Linked DNA regions of Lepisosteus oculatus. The main gene of each other region encodes a partner of the protein of the gene in region 3 in a complex. Links are inferred from orthologs where the notes say so. Each region holds a gene or a part of one and is shown on either strand. Other genes may lie near its edges.

Region 1 (7,497 bases), on a different chromosome or scaffold from region 3:
TGGTTCTAGAATCACGATACTGTAATAATCTAGCATATCTTAATAAAATAATTACAATTTATTGTATTTATGAAATACTTTCCAAGATCCGTATCTTCTAAATTTTAAAGGATCCAGAAGCATTTCACACATAGGAAAGTATCCCACTTCATCAAAAATGAAGGCCAATACTTTAATTACCAAATAGGCAGGTTCAGGATGCGAAGAGTACCAACTACTGGTGACCAAAATGTTCTCCCTGACCAGTCCTAGCCTTGCTTAACTTCTGAGATCTGACAACAGCAAAAACTCTGAAATTCCTGCTTGTCCTTAGCATGCTTATACAGTAATTGCTCATTACCTCAACAATGAAAGAACAGCAAATGTTATAAATGTTCTTCACTGTGATAAGGTTCTGTTTTATTATTTACACTCAGGACATACCATCTTTTTAAAGTACTGCCTTGCATAGCTCTTCACCTGCAAAACACTGCGACTGCCAATCATTTTTGCTATCTTGGTCCATCTTCGACCAAACTGTGTCTGAAACATCAAAAAGACAGGAGGGAAATATCTTTAATGCTGTTCAACATCTATTACACTTATAGTTCAAATTACAGACTATTAGGATTTGTTTCCACACTTTAAGCTGTACTAGCTACAAAACTATCTTTGGTGATAATGTTATAAAAACATAAACATAAATCTTTATAGAAACAGAAACAAATAAAAAAAATGCTAAATGATAAAAAATCCAGATGTTATACACAGTGCAATAGCCAGTATAATTTGTCAAAGTAAATTTATTACCAGTCCTTTTTCAAAAAGATCCTTTTCCTGCTGTGCCCAGCGAACAGTTTGAGTACCCGATTTAATTGGAGACCTATAAGGATTTTTTCAAAAGAATTTAAAAAAAAGAAAACCAAAAATAATTAAAACAAACTCTATTGACTCTATCTATAGCCAACAGTATAGATCCATTCAAAACAAAAAAGAAGCATCTTTCAGAACAAACATTTATTTATAAGAAATGTTTTTACAGAAAAAATAGGTATTAAGAAAATAGGTATTGTGTTTATATATAAAACTTGTATTTATGTAAATATATGTACAAATATTAAACATAGCCAAAATCATAAGACAGGATTACCGCAAATGTATATTAGGGACTGCAAAAGAATGTGTATTTATAAAGATACATACGTTTAGAATTTATCATATTTAGTGTCATAAATGACGTAAATGAAAGGAAATGTCAGTCCTGTACACCTAGAGAACTGCAAAATTCAAGGGTAGTCTTAATTTACCAAATAATTCAGCATTAAAACAGCTGATCTGACTTAATATCTAAATAATAACATTAAGAAATTATTATCGGAGTTATAAAATCAAGTTGATAAACTCACTTCTTTACTTTTTCGGTCATTTGCTTGTCACCAGTCCAGGTGTTCTTGGGAAGCTCCTTACCTGTTAGATAATATCTTAAACCTTTTTAAGAAAAACTGTCAGATCACTGCATTGGAGATGACTGCCTTTGATTAATAGCATTTCTCAACTGTGTTAACTTATATAATGAAATAATAAAATCAAGAAGAGGTGAAAACAAATATATATATATACACTTCTCAACTATGTCTATGCTGCACTGATTCTTCCTGCTAGAAGAGTTCACATTTTAAGTCAGTCCAGAAACAAAAAAAGGATACTCCTCTTCAAGCAGCATGTTCTCAATAGCTGCTCTATTCTCAGCACTGATGGAGCTGTCCAAGGCCCAGGGCTAAGGGAGTTAGGAGCAGAACCTAATGTTAAATGTGAAACCTAATGTGTAAAGACTTCTACTCACATAACACCAAGCAGGCAAAAGCTTTGAGCTTCCTCAAAGCTGCAGACCAAGAGCTGAGTATGAATGCTGTTATATCAATCTCTTCCACCTTGCTTATCCACCTGTTACAACCTAAGTGAAGATTTTGTTTCCAGAAACTTTAAACCAAAATGAAAGCAAATTGAACTGAAAGTTATTGAGCAAGAGACATCATTTGGTTGTAACTGCCTCTTGTGGAGAGATTGAAAGAAGGAGCTTTTACTCCATGATGTATTCTGTTTTCCTGCTGTAAAGTGTGGACAAAATAAAATGTCACCAGACATGTCACATAAGCATGACAATAGAAACAATGTTAGCAATGCAGTCATGTAGGAAGGTTTGAATTGCAAATGCAAATTACTACATTGTAAATGCATCCACTTACTATCAACCCACTGTCTGTCCTCCATGATGACTGTAAATACTGGTCTTGCAAGAATCTAGCAGATCCAGCATCAGGGTCTCTGAAATACATTTCAGGCTATCACAGAAAGATTTCAAATAGTATCCATGTCAAAACATGGCTGTTAAACACAGCCATGTTTAGTGCGTACTTAATCCACACTGCACTAAGTACGGTATTATAATATTAAAGTTTATGTCGAAGACAACAGGTCAGATCTCTGAGACTACTCATGGGAATAGGCTTAAAGTGGCATCAAAAATATTTTTGGAAAAGGTCTTCATGTTCTTCAAATTTTAGATAACTTGAGTTAGTTCTAGATGGTCTCCTCTCGTTTGTAACTTTTCGTTCATTAGATGCTAAGCGTTTACTGAGAAGACGAAGCCTCCTGACAAAGGTGGCAGGATAGCACGATTAGCTCTCCAACACAACTTGCTCGTACATTTGAAACGGTCTGTTATACCCGAGGTCTTCTTGTTTATACTTTTACATCGGTATTACTAAAACAGATGTAGCAATATCTTTAGGAGAAACATTCTGACACTCTAAAGGTTCTATTTCTATATAGCTGAAGATCTGAAAGGAAAAAGCGAGTCCACAAGGTATGTGAAAAAAATATATAGAAAACAACATAAATGTTTATTCAAATTAACATAAATCTATAATATCTGACTTATCTAACACTCACATTACGGATTTTACTCTCGACATTTCGCCATTCATTTCAATATGTTAAGTACTGAGACCTTTAAAAAAAACAGAAATTTCGTAAAAGTACTCCTGTCAAACTCTGAATCAACTGACACTGTGTAAGACATTACAGACACACTGTTCCATCACATTACCTCAAATTCAACTCAGATTCATCACCCTCAATATCAACAACATCCAGCTCCTCCGCCATGTTCTCTAAAACTCAGCACTAGCAACAAAGAGAAGTGACAGGTCGCTCAAAGGACGAAGTTTTTCTCTGTAGCGACATCTGCTGAGTGGAAGACCTCCAGTTAATGTCGTTATTTATATTTGATATATTTCATTTTTAAAACATTTATCTAAATAATGTTATGAAAGTATAAAAATATATTTTTTGATCGAGCTTATACTGAATATTAAAGTTCCCGATTTGTGTGATTCTATAACCCCATTCTTTTCACAAAACTGTTGACAACTGTCTAAAAGTCTAAAAGGATGCCCTTTTGAATGTGACAAGTTTTATGCACAATTGTTTGACAACTTGTAAGAGAAACATGATTACATTTTGTGTAGTCAAATTCAGTTTTTTATCAAACTTAATTTAAACCACTGAATTTTTTGGGTCCAAAAATAATAATTACATTGCTACTCTTAGTTTTATAACAAAATTACAATTGGAGAACACATATAAATTTAGTGGTTACTGGTGCTATAGTAGATACCTGTTATTAATACCCATCACCAGGTGTTTCCATATTTAGTGTAGCAAAAGCGAAATTAAGGAACTGGAGTTTTGCTTTTCATTTTCAATAATCAGCTAATTTTTGTATGCTATTTCAATTTTGCTTTGCAACTCCCTAATCAATTTCTGAAGTATGAAGTCATTTTAAAAGAAAATAATCACTCTGATCCCATTACAACATCTAGGGTGATGTATTTATAAAAAAGGTATATTTTGAAGCATAATACCCTGGCTTCTATTAAAAAATGTGTGGATGAGACCTTTGGGATAATAAGCTTAATGTAATGTAATGTAATGTGTAATGTAATTACTACTAGCAATCAAACATGTTAGAAGTGTATAATGGCTTCCTCTGGATTGTAACTATTCCTATGTTGTTATATGGCCAGCAGCCATATCACCCTGCAACTCACAACTGGCAACCCACTGAAGCTCAGCAGGTTTGAGCCTGGTCAGTACCTGGATGGGAGGCCTCCTGGGAAAAACTAAGGTTGCTGCTGGAAGAGGTGTTAGCGGGGCCAGCGGGGCCAGCGGGGCCGCTCACCCATGTGGGTCCTAATGCCCCAATGTAGTGACAGGGACACTATACTGTAAACAGTGAGATGTAAAACCGAGGTCCTGACTCTCTGTGGCCATTAAAAATCCCAGGGTGTTTCTCGAAAAGAGTAGGAGTGTAAGCCCGACGTCCTGGCCAAATTTCCCATTGGCCCTTATCAATCATAGCCTCCTTATAATCCCCCTCTATGAATTGGCTTCATTACTTTACTCTCCTCCACACTGATAGCTGATGTGTGGTGAGTGTTCTGGTGCACTATGGCTGCTGACGCATCATCCAGGTGGATGTTGCACATTGGTGGTGATAGAGGAGAGTCCCCATTACCTGTAAAACACTTTGAGTGGAGTGTCCAGAAAAGCCCTATATAAGTGTAAGCCATTATTATTATTATTGATAATACAAAGTAATTAAGACATTTTTAGTGTTGGTAAACAATTACAGGTACCTTTGTGTTAAAAGGGAAAAGGGTATTATATAAGTCAGTCTCTCAATTTAATTTCTTCCAAAAATAAAGTTTTTATTAAAGTTACTAACAATAACTGACATAAACAACTCATAAACACTTGAATGAGATAAGAGTATGAAACATAATACACGTTATTATTTACAAAATGTTTTTATATTCAGTTTTAAACAATTCAATGAAAATTCTCATAGTACAAATATTCCAAAATTATCTATTTTAAATCCTGCCTTAATTTTACATTTCCTAATCCATTACAGAAACTTTGAAGTCTGGAAGAAGTCTAAAAGTAACTTTCTTAAGTCTATAATTTGCCAGTTAAATTTACACCAGCTAATTTTCAGTGAAGCCTTAAAGAAGTCCTGATGGGTAATTTTAAACTCCTTAAATTACCTGCTTTTCTGTATAGCTGGATCACATTTTTAGTTTAAAAGCCAAAAGAGAAACAGTTTACTCTATGAAGGCAGAAATACAGAGCTTGTGAATAACTCCTTATGGAGAAATACTCCCCTACCAGTGTCACATGAGACAAATATGAACAGATTTCTCTGCTACTTCCCCAACCTGTCGGATATTTCCAACAACGAGGTCACTTTTGTGTGGTGCCATCAGCTGAACTCCCTTCTGTGTTCCAGTAATACCCTATGTGTCCTCTTCTGAGGAGGAGTAGCAGTCAAGACCCAGAACATGTGGCTTGTGTTCGGCAGGCAGGTGGGACGTACTGAGCTCCAATGCCTCTGAATTTTTGGGAAGACAGTTCTGGGCTGCAGAATTCTGGGCCATGGAGCAGCTTTGAAGGTTCGGAAGCCCTGTAAACAGAACCCTTGCCAGACTGTCTAAGTTCTGATCATCTAGTGTGGCACGTTGCCCAGAAACCTTCACAGCCATCTTGCTGTGGTTGAAGCAGAGAGGCTGGTCTTGGCTGGGTAGGTCTGCCACAGGGGAAGTGAGTACAAGAGTACAACTCTTCTCTTTCTCTGGAGCTTGTGTCACCTTGCTCTCCTCTTCATCATCACTGTCTGACTCATCACTCTGGGATCCTGGTTCTGACAGCACAGGAGTACATAACCTTTTAAAGCCCCCAGACTCTGAGAAAAAATAATTCTTTTTAATTTTAATTTAATGTATACACACTACTTAGTAAAAGGTAATAGCTTCCTAAAGTAACTGTGGATTAAAATGTAACAGTTTTCAGTGCTACATGTTAGAGCTGATACTTCAAAATAACCCCATGTTTGAAAGAAATGTGCTGGTACTTCATGTTTGAAATAAATATATTAATAAAATACTACATGATTTCTGATGGTGAGCTTATAGTAATCACAAAACACTTTTGTTCTTCGTACAAAACAAGTAATTTTGTCAACAAAAATGACATCTCAGAGCCATCAATCTCAGACGTATCACCTCCAAACGTTATGAAGTTTAATAAATATTGATGGTAAAACTAGAAGTCCAAAGTAGTCCAAAGTGATACCTCTTCTAAATTTATGAAAAGTTGAAATTTATAATAAATTAACATAATACAAAGGGAGGTAGTACTTCTTTTTGCAACTCTTTGCAAGTCAAGACCCACTGTCTTTTTTTAATTCACTAGAGGCTTTAATTACCACTTACGAAGATGACTGTTCATAAAACATGGGTTGATACAGTCAAATAAGTCATCTTTATGAATTATGTATTTATTTATAAATATGTTATTCTTTATTAAAATAATTATTACATTATTTATAAATCAGTAAAAGGGATTACTGGAGATGGGGGATGTCAAAACTTACAGCAGTGATAGTTTATCCATCACAAAAACAGACATGATTTTGAAATAACTTCAGAAATCATTAAGGATACATATCTGCTGGAGACTTTAAAAATGTGAAATGCAAGCAAATGTACTTCAATGCATCACACAGGAGGACAGACAGATCTACCTGCTTGGCTAGGACATGGTACCCCATCCTGTGGCCGTTTCCTTTTAGTGTAGCCTCGGGGATTCCAGGGCTGGTGTTTGCAGGACGGATCTAGGACCCGGAGCTTGTGGAGGTAACTCTTATATTCCTTCCGCAGCCCCTCTATCTGCTGCTGAAACTCTGCAATCTTCCTCTCAGGGTAGTGAGAGAGCTGGGACTGCTGCAAGACAAAGAACAGTTCTATTATAAAAGAACACATGAAATGTTACAAAGAAATTAAGGCCATTTCCCCCATCATGCCTGTTTGGCTTCTAGTACATTCCCAATCTCCCTGCTTCAACAGCACTGCAGTGCAGTTTGTTCCAAAGAATTGCCATTCTTTGTGTAAAGAGCACCTCCTGTTTCCAACTCAATTCATTTTTCTATAGCCTCCACTTGTGCCCTCAAGCCTTTGTGTCTTCTCTGTTCAAGACTTAAATCATTGTCATAACAAGACCTCACTGTATTAGTCATCTCAAATATTCAACACTGAAGTGTATCAGTAATCTGCATAACACATGGAAACCATAGGACCAAATACATAGCAAGTCAGGAAAAGAAGTAAGTTCAACAGCTGAGTCTATTATGCAATGAAAGAGTGAAATTTATCAGGACACTAGGATTAGTACCTTTTAAAAAATGCTAGTGGCTTGTGGAAGAACGAAACAGGATCTTAAAAGACCAGGTATTGGATTATTTTGAACTGCATTTCCACTTTTAGAAAAAAACAGTCTCAACAGCAGGGGGCATTGTCATAATTGCAAAGAGGGAATTGTTAATGAACACAATGATTTCTTCATACATAGACAGCAATTTAATTGTGTCAGTAATAAAAAAAGTGTTATTGCCATAAC
Region 2 (8,237 bases), on a different chromosome or scaffold from region 3:
TAGTTTCTGCAAGGACCCTCAATAATGATGCATTCCTCCTTTCAGTTGTTGCGATATGCAAACCAATTTGCAGTACAGTCTGGCAGCAAGTCTTTATTGCAATGGCCCCTTAAACTGCCCAGTGGGTCGATTTTTAGTAAATGAAAATCTAGTGTATCTTTTTGAGAAAAGAGAATAGGAAGGTCTGCTTACGTTCGTTTTAATAGTTTGTATGTGAACACAAACCTGACCAGTCTGGTAAATTCTGTTTGTTTCGGTTACATGATTTATCCTTTGAAAGGAAAACAAAAAATTGTCATTTTTCCTAACTATTCTTGATTTGTTTTCAGCACACCTCAAGATATTAGGAGAACCAATTACTTCAGCAGGTCTTTTGAAGTCGTTTGTCATGCCTTGCACTAACAATGCTCATCGATACTTCTTGTCATTATTACAGCTGGTGTGTTATAAATAATATACTGTAAATAGGGTGTTGCAATGTAGTCTACTTTTCAGTATACAACTTACTGGACTAATGCTTGCTAGGGAGTTGTTTAGATAATCATACAAACTGTACAGTAACTGAAATGGTTCTATTAAGGGTTCGGAGTTTTTCCACAAATGGTTAAATTATAATCAGTGGTGATCTTTATAAATGTATGTAGTGTTATTAACAAAATGAACTTGCATTTCCTTAGTGGTTTGTCTTGTACTTTCTCATTTCTCTGTTTATATTTTTAACATTTCTTTCGCATTGCACTAAATATTTTAGTGGTAAGACAATGATGCCCCATACGATATTATACCTAGTAGAAACTGAAATCAGCTATGTTGGAATCATAATTCTGCTTAAGCAAGACGGGTAACTGAACTGATAAGTAGCTGGCAGTCATTTTTAACAACAGAAATGTAATAATGTAACTCAATAATGGTTAAGGACTGATCAGTTCTAATGTTCAGGTACTAGATTATGAATAAATAAGTTAATAAACAGGGATATATTGTATACTTATTGCTGTGAATATTAAATGCAGCTCACATCTAAATGCAAGCAATTTACCATATTGTTTAATTCCTAAATAAAAATTAATTTGGTCATGCTATACTGATTGAATAATGGAACAGTGACAGTTCTCAAATGGTCTCAAATCTGTCCCAGACAGTTTATTCACTGAAGAAAGTGTTTGTGCCATACATCATTTTATTGCAGTGGTGTTGAATATTATAAGCCTTTTTATACATTTTTTATACATCTAATCCAGGCAGAAGTACTGTTATCACTGATAAGTTTTCCTTTGCCCCTGAATTTACTGCTGTTTCAACAATTTTTTTACTAATGGAAACTGCCAAGTTTTCATAGTCTGTCTTGGTTTTGAAATGCTTTTCAGTTTTAGTCCTTACACAATTTGAGGGTTTTTCTGTTTGGAAGCAGTCTTGTGTTTCTTTGCCCAAAGTCCCACTTTCATCTGTTTTGTTCTCGAGTTGTGCCTGATTTGGTGTCCTTTCTCTGTCTTGGTTTGGGTTGCAAGGTGTTTCCGCTAGAGAAGAAAAATCCATGGCAATTGCTGCAACATCATCTTCATCCAAGACATCCCAAATCCCACTTGTAGCTAAAATCATTGCCTGAAAAGTGTCATCTATTGGTAAAGATACAGAATATGGCACAGGAATGACTGACTTCTTCAGTTGCAGGTCCCCGTGATGACCAAGCCCACGGGTTGCACTCATCAGACCTTCTACAAGTCCGTGCTGCTTGTTTACACTTATTTTCCCGCCAGCTTTCAGAACACGTCTTCTTTCCTTTGGGTTGGAAGTACTGTGGTCTTTTGTCAGCCGATGTCCTTTCCCATTCTTGCACAAAACTGCATGTGTGTTGCCTAACATCACAAACTTCATTAAATTTTTCATAAAAGCTATTCAAACTTGTACACGCCATGTTAATTTTAATCAGGCACTATGGGTGCATTATGAATTCCTTTGGTGTTCTATTTACAGACTCTAAAGTCTGAAGGTTTATTGTACTACTCACTACAATTTAAAGGGCTTTATGCACGCAGTTGAAACCCTAGCTTGACCTCTTGCCCTATGATCCTGTAAGAAGTAAGGCCATATCGCCCTACAGCTTACAACTGGCAACCCACTGAAGGTAAGCAGGTGAGAGCCTGGTCAGTACCTGGATGAGAGACCCCCTGGGAAAAACTAAAAGATTGTTGCTGGAAGTGGTGTTACTGGGGTCAGTAGGGCGCTCAGCCTGTAGCCTGTGTGGGCCCTAGTGCCCCAGTATAGTGATGGGGACACTAAACTGTAAAAAGGTGCCCTCCTTCAGATGAGACGTAAAACTGAGGTCCTGACTCTTTCTGGTCATTAAAAATCCCTCTCTTGAAAAGAGCAGGGGTGTAACCCTGTTGTCCTGGCCAAATTTCCCATCGGCCTTTACCAAGTATGGCTTCCTAATAATCCCCATCTATGAATTGGCTTCATCGCTCTTTTCAACTCCCCACTGAGAGCTGATGTATGGTGAGCGTACCGGCGTGATATCAACACTATCATCATCCAGGTGGATGCTGCACATTGGCGGTGGAGGAGGAGAGTCCCCATTACGTGTAAAGTGCTTTGAGTGGAGTGTCCAGAAAAGCGCTATTTAAGTGTAAGCAATTAGTGTTACTATAGGTAAGAGAATGGAATTCTCTACAATTGTTTGAATTAGCCACACTGCCCATGTTTTAAGCTAAAACATTTGCTTTTTGCCATAGCAAATTACTTGATGTTGTGTTAATTGCTGTACTTAATATTGGCATAGTATGTCAGAGGCCAGGTTAATGCTCATTAAAAGTCTATCAATTGCATAACATGAAAAACATACTTACCACAATTGGCAATGTGTATTTTTCCCATAGTATTTTTTTGATCTTGTGATGTAAAATGATTTCTGTTTTTGCAGCCTCCTGCTTGGTGCAGTTCTGCATTTTTTCTGTCTTGCATTGGGCCTTCAATTAAGCAAATTAAGGCTGTACATCCACTCCACCGAATCTTAGAAGTTTCATTTCGACCCAAGCCTAGAATCCGGTCCATTTTGCGAAAAGCCTTGGCAAAGGCCATATGCACTCTTTCGTCATGACTCAAGTCTTCCACTTGCAAATATGAAAAAGGTGGTATTTGATCTGCATTGCTTTTGCAGTCTTCTTGAAATATTGTTTCAAAGCTTTCCAATAAGTTAATATCCTCTCCAGTTAAGGAATATGTTGATAAACATTTTGAAAGTTGTTCAAGAACAATGACTGGGAGTTCTTTAGAAGTTATATCAGCTGCATATCTACCATGAAACCCGTCACAAAGGCCTATTATGAAGTATGCACCTTTATCACTTCCATAGCGCTCAATGAATATAGACATGTCTTCCATTTCTTGTTTCCATACAGCGTTTTTATCTTCACATGATGCTACAGCTTTAATTACAGGATGATTTACTTTGAATGTAGTCACACAACATCCCGTTTTGTGTTTGTAGTTAATTGCGTCAGTGGAATCTTCTGTCGTACAGGCTTGCTTTACATTTTTATTTGAAGAAGTGACATGAGCTTTAAAAGTTAACTCGTGATTTTTTTCCACAGCTACAGGTATACCTTCTTTTGTCTTATTAGAAGTACCTTCTTTTAGAATGTGTTTATCTTCATCAAATGATCTGCTCTGGTCCTGCGAGTGATGTATGCTAGGGATTGGTACAAAATGGTACATTATTGACAGCTTTTTACTTTTTCAGATCACTATAGAAGTTGTATTTTGTCGAACAGTGTTTTTATACATTATCTCTCTAGGTGGCTTACACTCTTAGCAGTGAACATTAAGCCCTCCACCAACAATCTCCAACTAAATAAAATCAAGAAATGACATACCTTAGCTTTAAATCGGTTTCCATGAAGAGAGCTGTGAAATATTTCAGCCAGGCTTTACCTTAAAGTTGAGGCAACATAAGCTGTTTACAAGTTGTACCATGGAAACTGTGACCTTGGAAACTAAAGTTACTGTGACCAGAAAATTAAGGGTAGGCCCCAGCTTGAATCATGAATATGCAATTACAGTAGGTAAATCCCTTTTCCATGTTAAGCTTCAGTGTTCTTTTTCAATAATTTAGTAGTTTGATTTTCACTTTCATAGTTTATGTGCTAAAGAATGTATTTAAATGTACTTCAATTCACAGGGCTTGGTAATTTTCTTTGCATACTTAAAGCAAATAAGTTTTAATGCAATTATTTTCTTTTAAAAAAGTTTGTAGGATGGTTTATTTATTCAAAGCTTCAAAAGTACTGGGTTTGTCCAAATAATTTTGCTGTTTTGGTATCCACAAAACATCCTTCATCACTGTGTTCTGCAGAGAACCAAATTACATTACAAATGTGAAACATGAAATGCAGCCTGAACATGTGTCAAATAAATCTCAAATAGCAAGTCATTTGTCATGGACAAAAAACAAATTGTGTGGCCTTTTACATAAACTGTATGGCTTCTTTAAATAGTAATGAGTCAACTATTATTCTTTCATCTCATTGAAAACAAAGCAAGCCGGTTACTCAACAAAATGTAATTGCTTTGAAATATTTGAATGCACTTCCACCTTATTGGGCACAAGTGTGTAATAGTGCTTAGGGTCTCAAACTCCAGATGGAGAGGTTGTAGGTTTAAATCTTTGGTGGGAAGCTGCTGTTGTAATCTTGAGCAAGGTACTTAAATTGTTCCTGTAGATGCCCTGATGTATAAATGGATCCTCTACAGCTCAGTGGAAATGAATTGGATCAATAGGAAATAAAAAAGTTTTGAAGTGACTTAGCTGGTTAAATAATTAAATTAAATTGTCCTTTAGACCTGCAATTTATAATGTAAGTTACCAAAATAAAATAATTTGTGAATCCCTTTACTTTGACCTTTAAGAGATGAAGGATCTCATATGACTGATTAAACACCCAGGAGCAATGCCAATGCTGACAGGCATGAATATCATTAGTGCTGACAGTTTCAGTGGTATGATTTGTATACATATATTAAATACCCAGTGAGCATTCTCAGAAATACTATGCTCACTTTCTGTAGTGGTTAGAGAGTTTCAAATTAGGTAACTGATCTCCATTACTCTGCTTGACGTAATCCATTTGACCTTGAAATTATTGCCACAACAGGCTGCATGTCTGTGACCTCTTTAAATATTTGCAGGATGCCAATTTTGTCTCCCCCTAGTGAGGGCATGCGGAGATTACAATGACAAAAAATAGGGATGAGCGCCATGTCTGATCCTACAGTTGTGGAATAGAGAGATACACATCCAGCGGCTTGGGGAGTCCGTTTCGGGCTCGCTATTTAGGATGTCGGAGAGCAGCGGGCTGCAGCAGGGCTCCCCAGCTGTGGGGGCGGCGGGCTTGGCCCCTGCTGCTCCCGGGGGAGGAGGGACGGAGTGTTCGGGCGCTGCTGCGGGATCTGCTGGTATCGCCGTGAAGAAGGCGCAGCTTCGCTCCGCTCCGCGGCCGAAGAAGCTGGAGAAACTCGGAGTCTATTCCTCTTGCAAGGTACATAGGTCAGATCTAACAGTTCCAATCTGATGCGCTTCTGTAGAGTGCAACCACAGCGTAGGGATTTTCCTCAAGAAAGTTGCATATTTAAACAATGAGGAAATGTGACTCGTTTCTGTTAGAAATTGTACCTGCAGGTAATGAAAAAGTACAGTATGGGTGTACTGTACATCGTAAAATCACTAAATAATGGTCTGCACTCATTGTTTGGAGGGGAAAAAGTGGACGTAAACACACTTGGCTCGGTGTCAAATATTCCGTATTTCGAGTAATGGGCAGTAAATGTTGCAATGTTTTCTCGGATAATATGGAATCAGTTGTCTATATACGTTAATGGAATTGTTGCTTGTTGTGAAACGTGTAACTTATTTTTTGATAATCGTCGTCTTTGCTCAGAACCAGCCTCTTTGTTTTGACAGTATGACAGCTGCTGGTAGGCGGAGTTTGGTTTTGTTCCTCAGTGCACGTTTGCTGCGAATAGCTGTGGCAGCAAAAAACGTCTTGAGTTGTACTACACACAGAGCTCGGGCTTGCAGAAGAGCTTGTTTTGATATCACTAGTGGTCACATGCAGCATTGCAATAACTTTCTGCTGCACCGATGACACCAAAACTTAACTTTTCTTTCAGAACAATTTCCTTTTTTTTCTTCTCTGTTATTTTCTGCTCTTAGCTGTGATTCATGTATTATTATTTTTTTTTAGATGTAAGCTAAGGCTGTTAGTCCGTTTTGTACTGCATAGACTAGCATAGTATTAGTATAACACTGAACCATTTTATTATATTTCTGTAACATTACACAAATTCAGTGCTAAACAAGAAGAAACCTTGCCATTATAAAAGTTCCTCTTGCTTAAATTTTATTCTCTTCTGACAAGTAGACTCCTTCGTTGTGTCAGTTTGCAAGTGTTTAAAAACTGAAATTAAGCCGATTGACACAGAACAAAAACAAGTTTAGCTCTTAGGCCGGGGATAATTAACTCTGTCACTTCAATTCCATGCTATTGTGAGACTTTAAACCTTTCAATAAATTAATTCCTGAGTTGCTATTTGATTTTCTAGTCCAGGTTCTGAAGAGTATCTTGATAAATCAGAATTCGCTGGAGAAAAGGAATTGGATGGAAATGCCAATGTCGAGTACTCCTGCTTCAGATCGTGGGTTTGCAGGACCCCGACCACACACCTACCGGTTTTCATTCCAGTCAAGCTTAGTTACCTAAACTAAAATCTTTATTTGCTTACAAAATGCAGTAGTTAAAAGGCATCCTTTAACATGTTTAAGAGCTGAAAACAGTCAAACACTTCAAATTATTCTAATTATTAAGTAAATTAAGGGTTTAATCTTGTAACTGAGAGCTTGGCAACAACAAAAACCAACACGTACAGGTATGTGGTCTTTCAAGACCACCATAGGCAATCCTTGTCTTTTAGATCAGTTGTTCCCGGTGCTGTTCTGAGGGGACAATAACATCTGCTGGTTTTCATTTCAGCTGGCCCTCAATGTAATCACCAGTGCTAACTGGTGCCTGTACCTGAGCTCCTGGCATCTTTAGACATTTTCGACCCAGGTGTGTCAAAGCCCTAGTTAAACTGTATGAATACATTAAAGGTTATTAGAGTAGTCTCTTTTCCGCTCTCTCATTATGATTTTCTTTCTTTCAACTAATAAACATGGTCAATTCATGAGAAACAGACACAGGTGGCCATCACATTGAATTAAACATTTTCACAATGACTGTTTTTGCCTTCTACTTAAGTTACATATCAGCTAACATAATGAATGAGTTCTGAGATGTAGGTATTGGTGCAGGTTTGATATTACGAACATTAAAAATCTTTTTTAAGAGCTGAGAGAAAATTGAAAAGTACGCCTGAAATTAAAATCAATTTGCCTAAGAACTTGCCTGAAGCACAGACCAGAAGACAAAATGGCCCTCCGGGGAAGAGTACTTAAATAATTAATTTCATTTCCCAGCACCCCTTAGATTCCTTTATATTCAAAATATTGATTTATCTGGAGCCAAGCTGAGATCTGTGTGTATTATAGCTTTCATTTGCCACAATGGTTTAAAATAACACAAACGTTTTATTTGTATGCAACTACAAATGGGGAAAAAAAAAGATTCAGATCAATAGCTCGGGAGAAATACATGGCATTTAAGAACAAAGTCATCCATTTGTATTTTCTAGTCCAGCTATTCATGAAGTGCCCATTCCTGTATATTGCAGGCTGAAGAGTCCTGTAAATGTAATGGATGGAAGAGCCAAAATCCACCCCCAACTCCTCCCCGGGTGGATTTGCAGCAGATAACTGTCAGCCTCACTGAGCCCTGCCGCAGTTGCGGTCACTTACTGGGTAAGCAATTGTAGGACTTGTAAAGAATTACCCAAGGGAGTGTTGGATAGTTTGAATTTTTTTAAAGACACAGGTGTAGAATGCTTTAGGTGTTCTATAGTTGGACATGAAGTTTAATGTAGTACCTCTTTCACTTCCTGTGTCTTTTTTCTATATCCTTTTCTTTTTTGTAGGAGTAGCATTCATACTGTTTTGTTGTGTTAACATGTCATAGTATAAAAAAATAGGATTTGCCAGAGGTATAAAATAGAACTTCAGTGGACTCTGCTGAGAAGCTTTTCAACCTCTGTTTTATTATGTCCTGTTTTGAAAGGGGGTAGATTAAGAGAAAAATATTGAAAGAGGT
Region 3 (8,144 bases):
GGTCGCTCAGACAGGGGTGCTGATCAGTCTCTTCCCTTTACCACCTCCAGGAGCCAGTGAAGCCAGAGGAGGGCAGAGACATGGCGAACCGCATCAACGCGTTCGGCTATCTGGAGTGCTCAGCCAAGACAAAGGACGGGGTGCGGGAGGTGTTCGAGATGGCCACCAGGGCGGCGCTGCAGGCCAAGAAGCGCGGGAAGAAGAACGCCTGCCTTTTATTATAGAGGAGAGGAAAAAGTGAAGAGGGAGAAAGAAAACCAGGCCAAGGAAAATGTACCAGCAAGAACCCCCTTCTGCCCCCCAGCTTCCTCCTCCATCGCTGTCCTGCCCCACTCCAGGTATGAGCTCATGCCTCCGCATCCGATCCTGCTCTAGCGCCAAACCAGAGGATCGTCTCTCCAGGAACAGCCTCCCTCTCCCAGATGGACAGTTGCCTTGGCTGATGAGAGGGGCTCCCTCACAGGCAGGCTGGACACAGAAGCAGTGACTTGGTTTTCTTCAAAGGCTCGCCCTTAGTTTTAAACACTTGGCTTCAAAACAATTACATCTGCAGTGTTGTGTCATCGACAGAGAAAAGGTCCCCTGGAAACAAATGTCTATATAATGTTTTAAGTTTTGTTCCTCATGTCATCGTTTGTAGCCAAAATATTTCTGTGGCACTCATGGAAGTTGCTTACTGGGCTTTTCCTCAAAGCTGACGACATGTCAGCTGCGCTCCAAGATACAGTGTTCCTGTTGCTAACGCAGCTGTTACTCTGGATAGGTATGGGGAAGAGGGCATTGTTTGAATGCTGTCTCTAGCGGCGGACTGGGTGACGAATGTTGTGCGAAACTGACAGGTGACGTCCCTTGGCAGTGTTAGTGGCAGAGGATGCTGTATCTTGAGTTGTGGATAAGTGTTTAAATTAACATTTCGCCATAAGTCCTCAGTCTTTTTTTCATCTGCAGTGTGGGACTAGTATTGTTTCGGTCATTACTGCCAGGGGCCCGCAGTGTAGACTGGTGGATCTGCATGTGCTCCTTGTTTCTGCCCCACTGTGTCTGTAGCACTGAAGCTCCTTCCTCATGGCATCTTCCTGCTCCTGTCTGGTTCAATTCCACAAATCTGTCTCATAGAAGCAGAGATACTGTTTTAAGAGCTTCAGCCACATGTAAAAATGACGACTATAAAGGATTTTGAACATTAACAGATGGGTTGTTAATAAGACTGAGTTTGTGTTGTTTAAAACTGGGGGTAACCCCCCTCTCCTCTTACCCACTGCTTCCCCTCCAAGCTGGGCAGGGCCTGCAACCAGTGCAACATCCTGGCATGAGGTGCCTGTCTGGCAGCCTGGTGTGAAGAAGCATAGCAGCGTATTTTAAAAGGACTCTTCGCAAACATTCCTGCCACCTCTGTCCTCCTTCACCACCTGTAGACCACTGCAGCAAGTTGTGACCTGCCACTCTGTCAGGCTCCCTGTAGTCTGTAGCTTGTGAGCAGGCCCCACCCCTGGGTCTCGCCATACACAGTGGCCCCTCGCTGGAGCGCGCCGAGCTGGTGTGTCAGCGGTGTCCGGAGGATCCTTCCTCACCATCTGTTCCATTGAATCGCCCCTCGGAGTCGTTCAAGTCAGTCTGAGCCACTGTCCCTGTAACCCCGGTGGGTTTGTGTTCTTGCTAATCCTTTGAAAGGGTCCCAGGATTGCATCTGGGATTTGAAAAGAGGGTTGAAAAAGGAAATAAGCTGGCGATTTTAATTCACGATTTAAACCCTGCCACAAAAAGATAAATGACACTGGACTCAGTCTGTAGCCCTGGGGTCACCCTCATTTCCTCCCAGAATATTGACAGTGATAGCTCTGTGTGAAAGGGCTGGGGGAGAGGGTTAATTGTTTGAGAATAGCAAATGATATGGGAATCTTGATAAAATCAGCCATGTGAACAGCGAAGGAAATAGGATCCCACTTGATAAACAGTAAAGGGGGCTGCATTGTCAGACTACAGAGGGTAATCCTGATGGAGATTCCAGTCTGGACAGTCTGGAGAGCTGGAAGACTGTGTCACACATTTGAGTTAAGTGTTGTGACTTGAATGACCTGTTTTACACATATTGTAAGACTTCTACCTAATGGGTGACTAGATATCCCTGCAGCAGTGGGTGAAAAACTGCGTACAGGTCCACAGTGCACAATGCATGAGCTTTTCAGCATGAAAGGAGGTGAGAGGGTTTTTCAACTGCCCATATCTATCTATATATATATATGCATACAATATTACATATATATGTAATATTCTAGATTTTGGCTTTTTCCTTTTGGGACTGGATAAGATGTATTCACACCTGGTTTTGTTTTGCTTAGCCTACTTTCCTTTAAGGCCTTTGTGCTGACTGATGACGAGTTTCTGAGTACTGGTGAAAGCCAACACAGAACTTGGCAAATGTGCAGTTCAAACCCATCAGGATTGCAGTCGGCCTTTGTTAAGGAGTCTTTAAGGATTTCCAAAGAGGGGGGTTGACCTGCACATTTGCTCAGCGTCCTCCATTCGAAAATAAATGTCCTGTGTCCAAGTGATGGAGTCCACAGGGATGGAAGGTTAACTGAAAAATGCGGTGCTGAAACTTCTCACTGCGTTTCTTTGGGAATATGAAAACCTACCTAATTTATAAAGTCTGAAGTAAGTCAAGGTTTTTTAAACCGGTCCTGGTCACATTTTCCTGTCTGTGCTGGCCCAGGGGACGTGAAGGGGGCAAGTGTTCAGCTTCCTCTAGCTCTCACACGTACAAACCCTGCGCCTCCTTCCTTTTTTTCTGCTCTTGTACTGTATATTTAACCCTGTGTGGAATTCTACTGGCTTGTACTGTATCAGTAATACCCTCTTGCAATTCTAGAATCTTACCTTAAAAATGTAAAAAAGGAAAAACTAAATATTATATTAAAAGTACTTCTTTTTAAAATAAAGTCACGAGAGAAAAAGAATCTGCCGCATATAACTTTACCTTTTGTACAAATGCATCTTGGAATTTCCTCAGTCTGCTTTTAAAACTACTTTAAATAAAAATTGTTTTTAGGGTACTGAGTTTGTGCAGTGTCCTCTTTGATGCGCACTTGGACAGGGGCAGAAGACTGATCACAGTTATGGTCATGTCCTCCAGCAGCTCAAACACAGTTGCTCATGCTTGCACACACAGAGCTGAGATACACACTTGTTCAGTGACGCACGCCACGTGCATAAAGCTCAGATACACGCTTGTTCAGGGATGCACACTGCGTGTACAGAGCCGAGATACACGCTTGTTCAGGGATGCACACTACGTATACAGAGCCGAGATACACGCTTGTTCAGGGATGCACATTGCGTGTACAGAGCTCAGATACACGCTTGTACAGGGCGGCTGTTCCTTCACAGGCAATCACGCATCTGCGCAAATCATCCAAAGGTGTTTTTGCTTTAAAAAAATTTAAGCAAACAGTATGTCCAATTAAAATCAAGAGAACTGTAATCATTGTTTTTTTTTCTAATTATCCAAAAGGTTTGCTTTATTAACAAATTTGTGTATTTTGTCTTTAATAGAAGGAAAACGTCAGCCAATGACTCTGCACAGAGAACAAAGTGTTGCAATTTGGCTCTAGAATGGTCAGACACGTTGCCAAACCAAACTGGTATAGAATTCCCTCAGTAATAACTCCATAACCCTGAATGAGAATGGCCCAGGAAACATTGAGACATTTTTCAGTTGACACAGGAAATACAATCTCTGGTGCACTTCCATTGTGATGCTCAAAACATATGTATCCCATTTGAGGATGTTAGCAATAGTACTGCTAGAATATTGAAAGACACCACATGTTGAAGACATTCAATCATTGCAGTGATTTCTAATTCCCTCACTGCTGGTGCAGAACAGCTGCTGGGTGTCGCCAAGGTGGGGATTCACTTGAGTGGCGAGTTAAGTGAGTCCACTAAATATGTGTAAAAATTAAATCTTCTGGGGGTTTGGGTTCCAGGAACAGGTTTTAGTTATTTTCAGTTTGGAAACCACATCAAACATAAAAACAACGAAGTGCCATTCGGGGATCTATAACAAAGTTCTCCTTTAATTCACAGTCTACTATTATCATTCTTACAAGATGTAATCCTGTAGAACTCCACTCTTCAAACAAAACAGCTCCCTACACACACCACGAACCTTTGTGCTTCGCATATCCCCCCTCTTAAGAACCGCCCCTGTTGCTGCATTAAATACCAAACCTTAATTAAATAACTTGCTTCTTAAATGAACACTACAAATCCCAGTCCTACACTTGTAAAGTGCTTTGAGACACTGTGGGATGAAAATGCATTACAGATTTACATTGAACATGAGATGAATAATGGTATTAAGATCCCAACTCTAAAAGGTCACATCCGTTCAGGAGCCTGAAATTTACAGGAAGGACCGTGAACAGTGCAGAATAGTGACTGCTGTCTTCGTCAACAGGTTTAACTAGCTCTACATTCTCTGCGTGCACTTTGTTCACTTCCAGGTTACTGCAGTACAAGCACTGGGTGCGCTTTATTTTTTTAGCCTGCCAGGCCAACTTTCCTCAGTCATACAGACCCGCATCAAGCCCTGCGCGCTGCGACATCGGCCTTCCTGTACAAGAAGACGGCTTCACCTCTAACCACTCAGAGGGCTCGAAAAAGCTGTCACGTAGAAGCAGAGCCAATCAATAACGAGAGGCGGACTTTCCTTTTCTTGGCCTATGGTGTCCGCGGAACTCTTAAAGGGAAATGTCAGATCCAATAGGAAAGCGGCGCTGTGGACGCCCCGCCTGAGAAAAATGTTGATTGATAAGGCTCTTACCCAATCATATGTTTTATAGGAATGGACCCAAAGTTTTTGGACCAATCAGCTGCAGCAGTCCGCCTACCAAGCTCCGCCCCGGTAGATGGCCATTTTGTTTTGGACGTAGAGCGAGACGGTTTTTCCAACATTTCTAAAAACATGTTTGTTTATTCATAACTTTAACCCTTGGCGTTTCGGAACAATCTTTCAGAAGGTATGATTTCTGTTCCTTTGACGAGATTTTTCATTCTAATCGGCTCTCCTTTTCGAGCAGCGAGTTAAAATAACGCTGTGTTTGGAGACCCCGGAGGTGCTGTTTACGCAGGTAGACGTTGGTCTCGTTTATAACTGACAAATCCCGTTAAAATGTTTTTTTTTAAACCGAAACCGCCGTTTTCCTCATGTCAACAAGCGCGACAGAATTGGTTAACGCTGTATTTCTGAATCGCAGCGAAAGAAATGATTCCGCTCTCTTCTAATGTCGGTAGTTCAGTGTTGTTCAGCGGTGTCAGTGTGTTGCAGCGCCATTGAAAGCGCCGATACTGTGGTCAGCACCTGTGTGCCGGGGCTCTGGACGCGTACACTTCACCTCCGGGGATCGATGGGATGTAGCTTCACCGACCGATTGACCGACTGTTTCTTCAGTAGCGTCTCTGCTTCTCATGGGCTGCCGGTTAGCTGCTGGGACCCAGGCGGCCCGGAGAGCTGCGCGGCCTCGGTTGTCCCCTCCTGTCGGTTACATGTCGTATAAACGAGCACGGCGTGGTCACGCCTCTTGAGCTCGGATCTGAAAGACTTGGCGACGGGGGTGAGCTGGGTTGATTAGCCTGCAGGAGACGCGTGTGACCCGAGCCTCTAGCTCCCGGTGACAGAGGCGGACTCGTGTGTCCGGGTCTTCTGCAGGGCGTGGTGCTGGTCCAAATGACTCCTCTCTCTCCCCCTCAGGCCAGCGAACCTGGTGCGGGGTGCCGAGCTGTCTGTGTGCCAGGTGGCCGGAGCGGGATGGACTACGAGAGGCGGTAAGATGATGAGGGTAACAGCTGCAAACACACCTGGAGGGACGCAGCGCAGGATTGGAAGGAAGTTCTGCCTGCACAGCCAGGGGCCCGGCTGTCTGCTCGTGTTATTAATGCCAGTGAGCAGTTAGAGAACTAACTGTGCTTCTTACTAGATTAGTCTTCGCCAAGGTCCTTAAGCAGAAGACTGATTGCATTATACAGCACATAGAAGCCTGGGCTGGTGGTTAAAATAAAGAGTTTGCTCTCGTTATCGTCACGTCTGTAGCCAGGTCACTGTGATATCGCGTGCTGAGCTGGTGTCTGTGCGAAGAAGTCTTCTCTTCTGACTTGGAGACCAGCTGAACTGAAACCCGCCGGAGCGGCTCCCGTGGGCTCGGACCGGTCTCCGCCGCGCGGCCGCGCTCTCACCTGCTGCCTCTCCTGTGCCCGCAGGGGCGGGCGGGGGGACCGCCTGGGCCGCTACGGCAGCGACCTCCAGGACCACGACTACCGGGACATGGACTACCGGGCCTACGGGCGGGACGAGCCCGCGGGCCTGGGCTTCGAGCCGCTGGAGCAGGAGGAGCCCCCCTTCCCCCGCGAGGACAGGGGGTTCCGCCGGGCCGAGGACTTCCAGCGCTTCCGCAGGGAGGAGCGCGCCCACGAGTGCGAGCTGCTCGGCAGCGAGTACGAGCCCTTCGAGCCCCAGGAGCGGCCCAGGGAGTACGAGCCTCGCAGGAGGGGCTTCCGGCCCTACGGCCGGCCGGGGGGCTCCGCAGCGGAGTACGGCACCTCGGAGCTGGAGGAGGAGAGCTACAGCGGACCCCCTGCGCAGGAGGAGTATGGCGATCTGCACCCCGAGGACCCCGAGTTTCAGGGCCCGGACGACCAGCAGGTGAGGTCTAGGTCCAGCGTTAACGCGGCACGGGCAGGTGACCAGGTCACCCTAGACGTTCAGCTCTTCCGCAGACTGCTGCAGCTGTTCTCGACGTGCGGCACGGGCTTCAAATGTAAGCTTAGCGACTGAAGTGCGAATGAATTCATTGTGAGCTTGTCGTGTGTAAATCTGTACCTGGCAGGAGTTCCCAGAGGCTGCCGTCTCCGGCCTGGCGGGGGGCCGGGGATCCGAGGGGTACCACGCCCGTGATGCTCTGGAGGAGTCGGCGGGCTTCCCTCCTGACCCGGACTTCCGGGACCAGGACTACCGCGCCGACTCGGGCGAGCAGAAAGCCAGCAACATCATCATGCTGAGGATGCTGCCTCCTGTCGCCACTGTCAACGAGGTAAGCAGCCCCGCGCTGTAGGACGTCTCTCCCCAGCAGCGCCGTCAGCAGGCAGTGTCTGGGGATGCAGATGTTGATTAAGTACCACAGAGGATCTGATTCTCCCTTTTTTCTTTTTCTTGTCTCTTGTTCTTTTCTCGTTCGTTTTTTAATTAGACACTGTAGTGTCCACCGCGAGGTGTATGTGATCTCTTTTTGGTCTCCGATTTGTTTCCATCTCCTCCCCTCTGGGGCTGGGATTTAAATACGAGGATTTAATTCTTTACAGTTTGATGTTAATAATGCTGTCCGTGTCTGGGGTCAGGATCTGCCTTCATCCCTCTGCCTCCCCTCTGTTGTTGCAGATCCGCTCCCACCTGCAGGAGCAGGGCATCCAGCCCAGGGAGGTCCGGCTCATGAGGAACAAGGCATCAGGTGAGCCTGCACTCCACAGGGTCTCCCCTCCTCCCCCCGCCCTCTGCTTCCCCTCCTCCATTCTTTGTGCTGCTTTCCCCGGGAGGCTGGGCTGCCTCTGTCTGTACACCAAGCCACACGGGATCCGTCCCCAAGACGGGCCTGGTTCACACCTCCCCACACACCCTCAGACAGCAGAGCACACAATCGCCCCCCAGCAAGGGCATAGGAGCTCTCCTCCCAGCAGGAGAGACCCCATCGTAAGTATGCCCGAGCACCTCGGTGTCTGTGTGGTCGCGGTGTTGCTGCAGTGTGTATCTCGCCCTGGTCTACAGAAGAAAGACCTTCCTCTCCACCGTCTCTGGGGGAGCCTGAGAAGTCAGTGATAGTTTCTATTGCATGTAGGTACAGAAGGCGGGGACTAAAAGAAGGACCAATTTCTTTAAACCATTCCATTGAGATGCTTTAGCATTAGGAAACTCATCAGAATCAGCATAGTTTCGAAGCCTGATCTGCTCGTATCTTAAGTGGCTTTGCACGACTGTGTCTGGTCTGTTCTGAGACTGCATCTGTAGAAAATAATTTCTTGAACTGGCAGGTATTTCTGTTCCTACTGGTCACAGATTTCCAGTGGTGATCAAGGCAATGTGCTATAGAAAATGT

Evidence for each region.
Region 1: rbm10 (region 3) and mysm1 share a complex: the UniProt entries of both Homo sapiens proteins name them as parts of the large chromatin remodeling complex. The link is inferred for Lepisosteus oculatus from reciprocal best matches to the Homo sapiens genes RBM10 and MYSM1.
Region 2: rbm10 (region 3) and kat2b share a complex: the UniProt entries of both Homo sapiens proteins name them as parts of the large chromatin remodeling complex. The link is inferred for Lepisosteus oculatus from reciprocal best matches to the Homo sapiens genes RBM10 and KAT2B.

Annotation. Positions count from the first base shown.
Region 1 is NC_090704.1:17,917,540-17,925,036, forward strand, and holds the start of mysm1 (histone H2A deubiquitinase MYSM1), read right to left. Parts: upstream 3,154-7,497; 5' UTR 3,148-3,153; coding exon 3,089-3,147; intron 2,322-3,088; exon of another isoform or gene 2,316-2,321; coding exon of another isoform or gene 2,305-2,315; coding exon 2,226-2,304; intron 1,757-2,225; coding exon 1,686-1,756; intron 1,461-1,685; coding exon 1,386-1,460; intron 863-1,385; coding exon 790-862; intron 523-789; coding exon 424-522; intron 1-423. Other genes in the region: uncharacterized protein, read right to left, coding at 5,340-5,785, 6,626-6,824. UniProt on the Homo sapiens protein: Metalloprotease with deubiquitinase activity that plays important regulator roles in hematopoietic stem cell function, blood cell production and immune response.
Region 2 is NC_090705.1:30,066,483-30,074,719, forward strand, and holds the start of kat2b (histone acetyltransferase KAT2B), read left to right. Parts: upstream 1-5,084; 5' UTR 5,085-5,333; coding exon 5,334-5,534; intron 5,535-7,764; coding exon 7,765-7,891; intron 7,892-8,237. Other genes in the region: protein phosphatase 2C-like domain-containing protein 1, read right to left, coding at 1,225-1,856, 2,847-3,714. UniProt on the Homo sapiens protein: Functions as a histone acetyltransferase (HAT) to promote transcriptional activation. Has significant histone acetyltransferase activity with core histones (H3 and H4), and also with nucleosome core particles.
Region 3 is NC_090697.1:77,941,332-77,949,475, reverse strand, and holds the start of rbm10 (RNA-binding protein 10), read left to right. Parts: upstream 1-4,898; 5' UTR 4,899-5,021; intron 5,022-5,752; 5' UTR 5,753-5,809; coding exon 5,810-5,826; intron 5,827-6,091; exon of another isoform or gene 6,092-6,258; coding exon 6,259-6,700; intron 6,701-6,884; coding exon 6,885-7,088; intron 7,089-7,432; coding exon 7,433-7,502; intron 7,503-8,144. Other genes in the region: rhoac (rho-related GTP-binding protein RhoA-C), read left to right, coding at 51-224. UniProt on the Homo sapiens protein: Binds to ssRNA containing the consensus sequence 5'-AGGUAA-3'. May be involved in post-transcriptional processing, most probably in mRNA splicing. Binds to RNA homopolymers, with a preference for poly(G) and poly(U) and little for poly(A).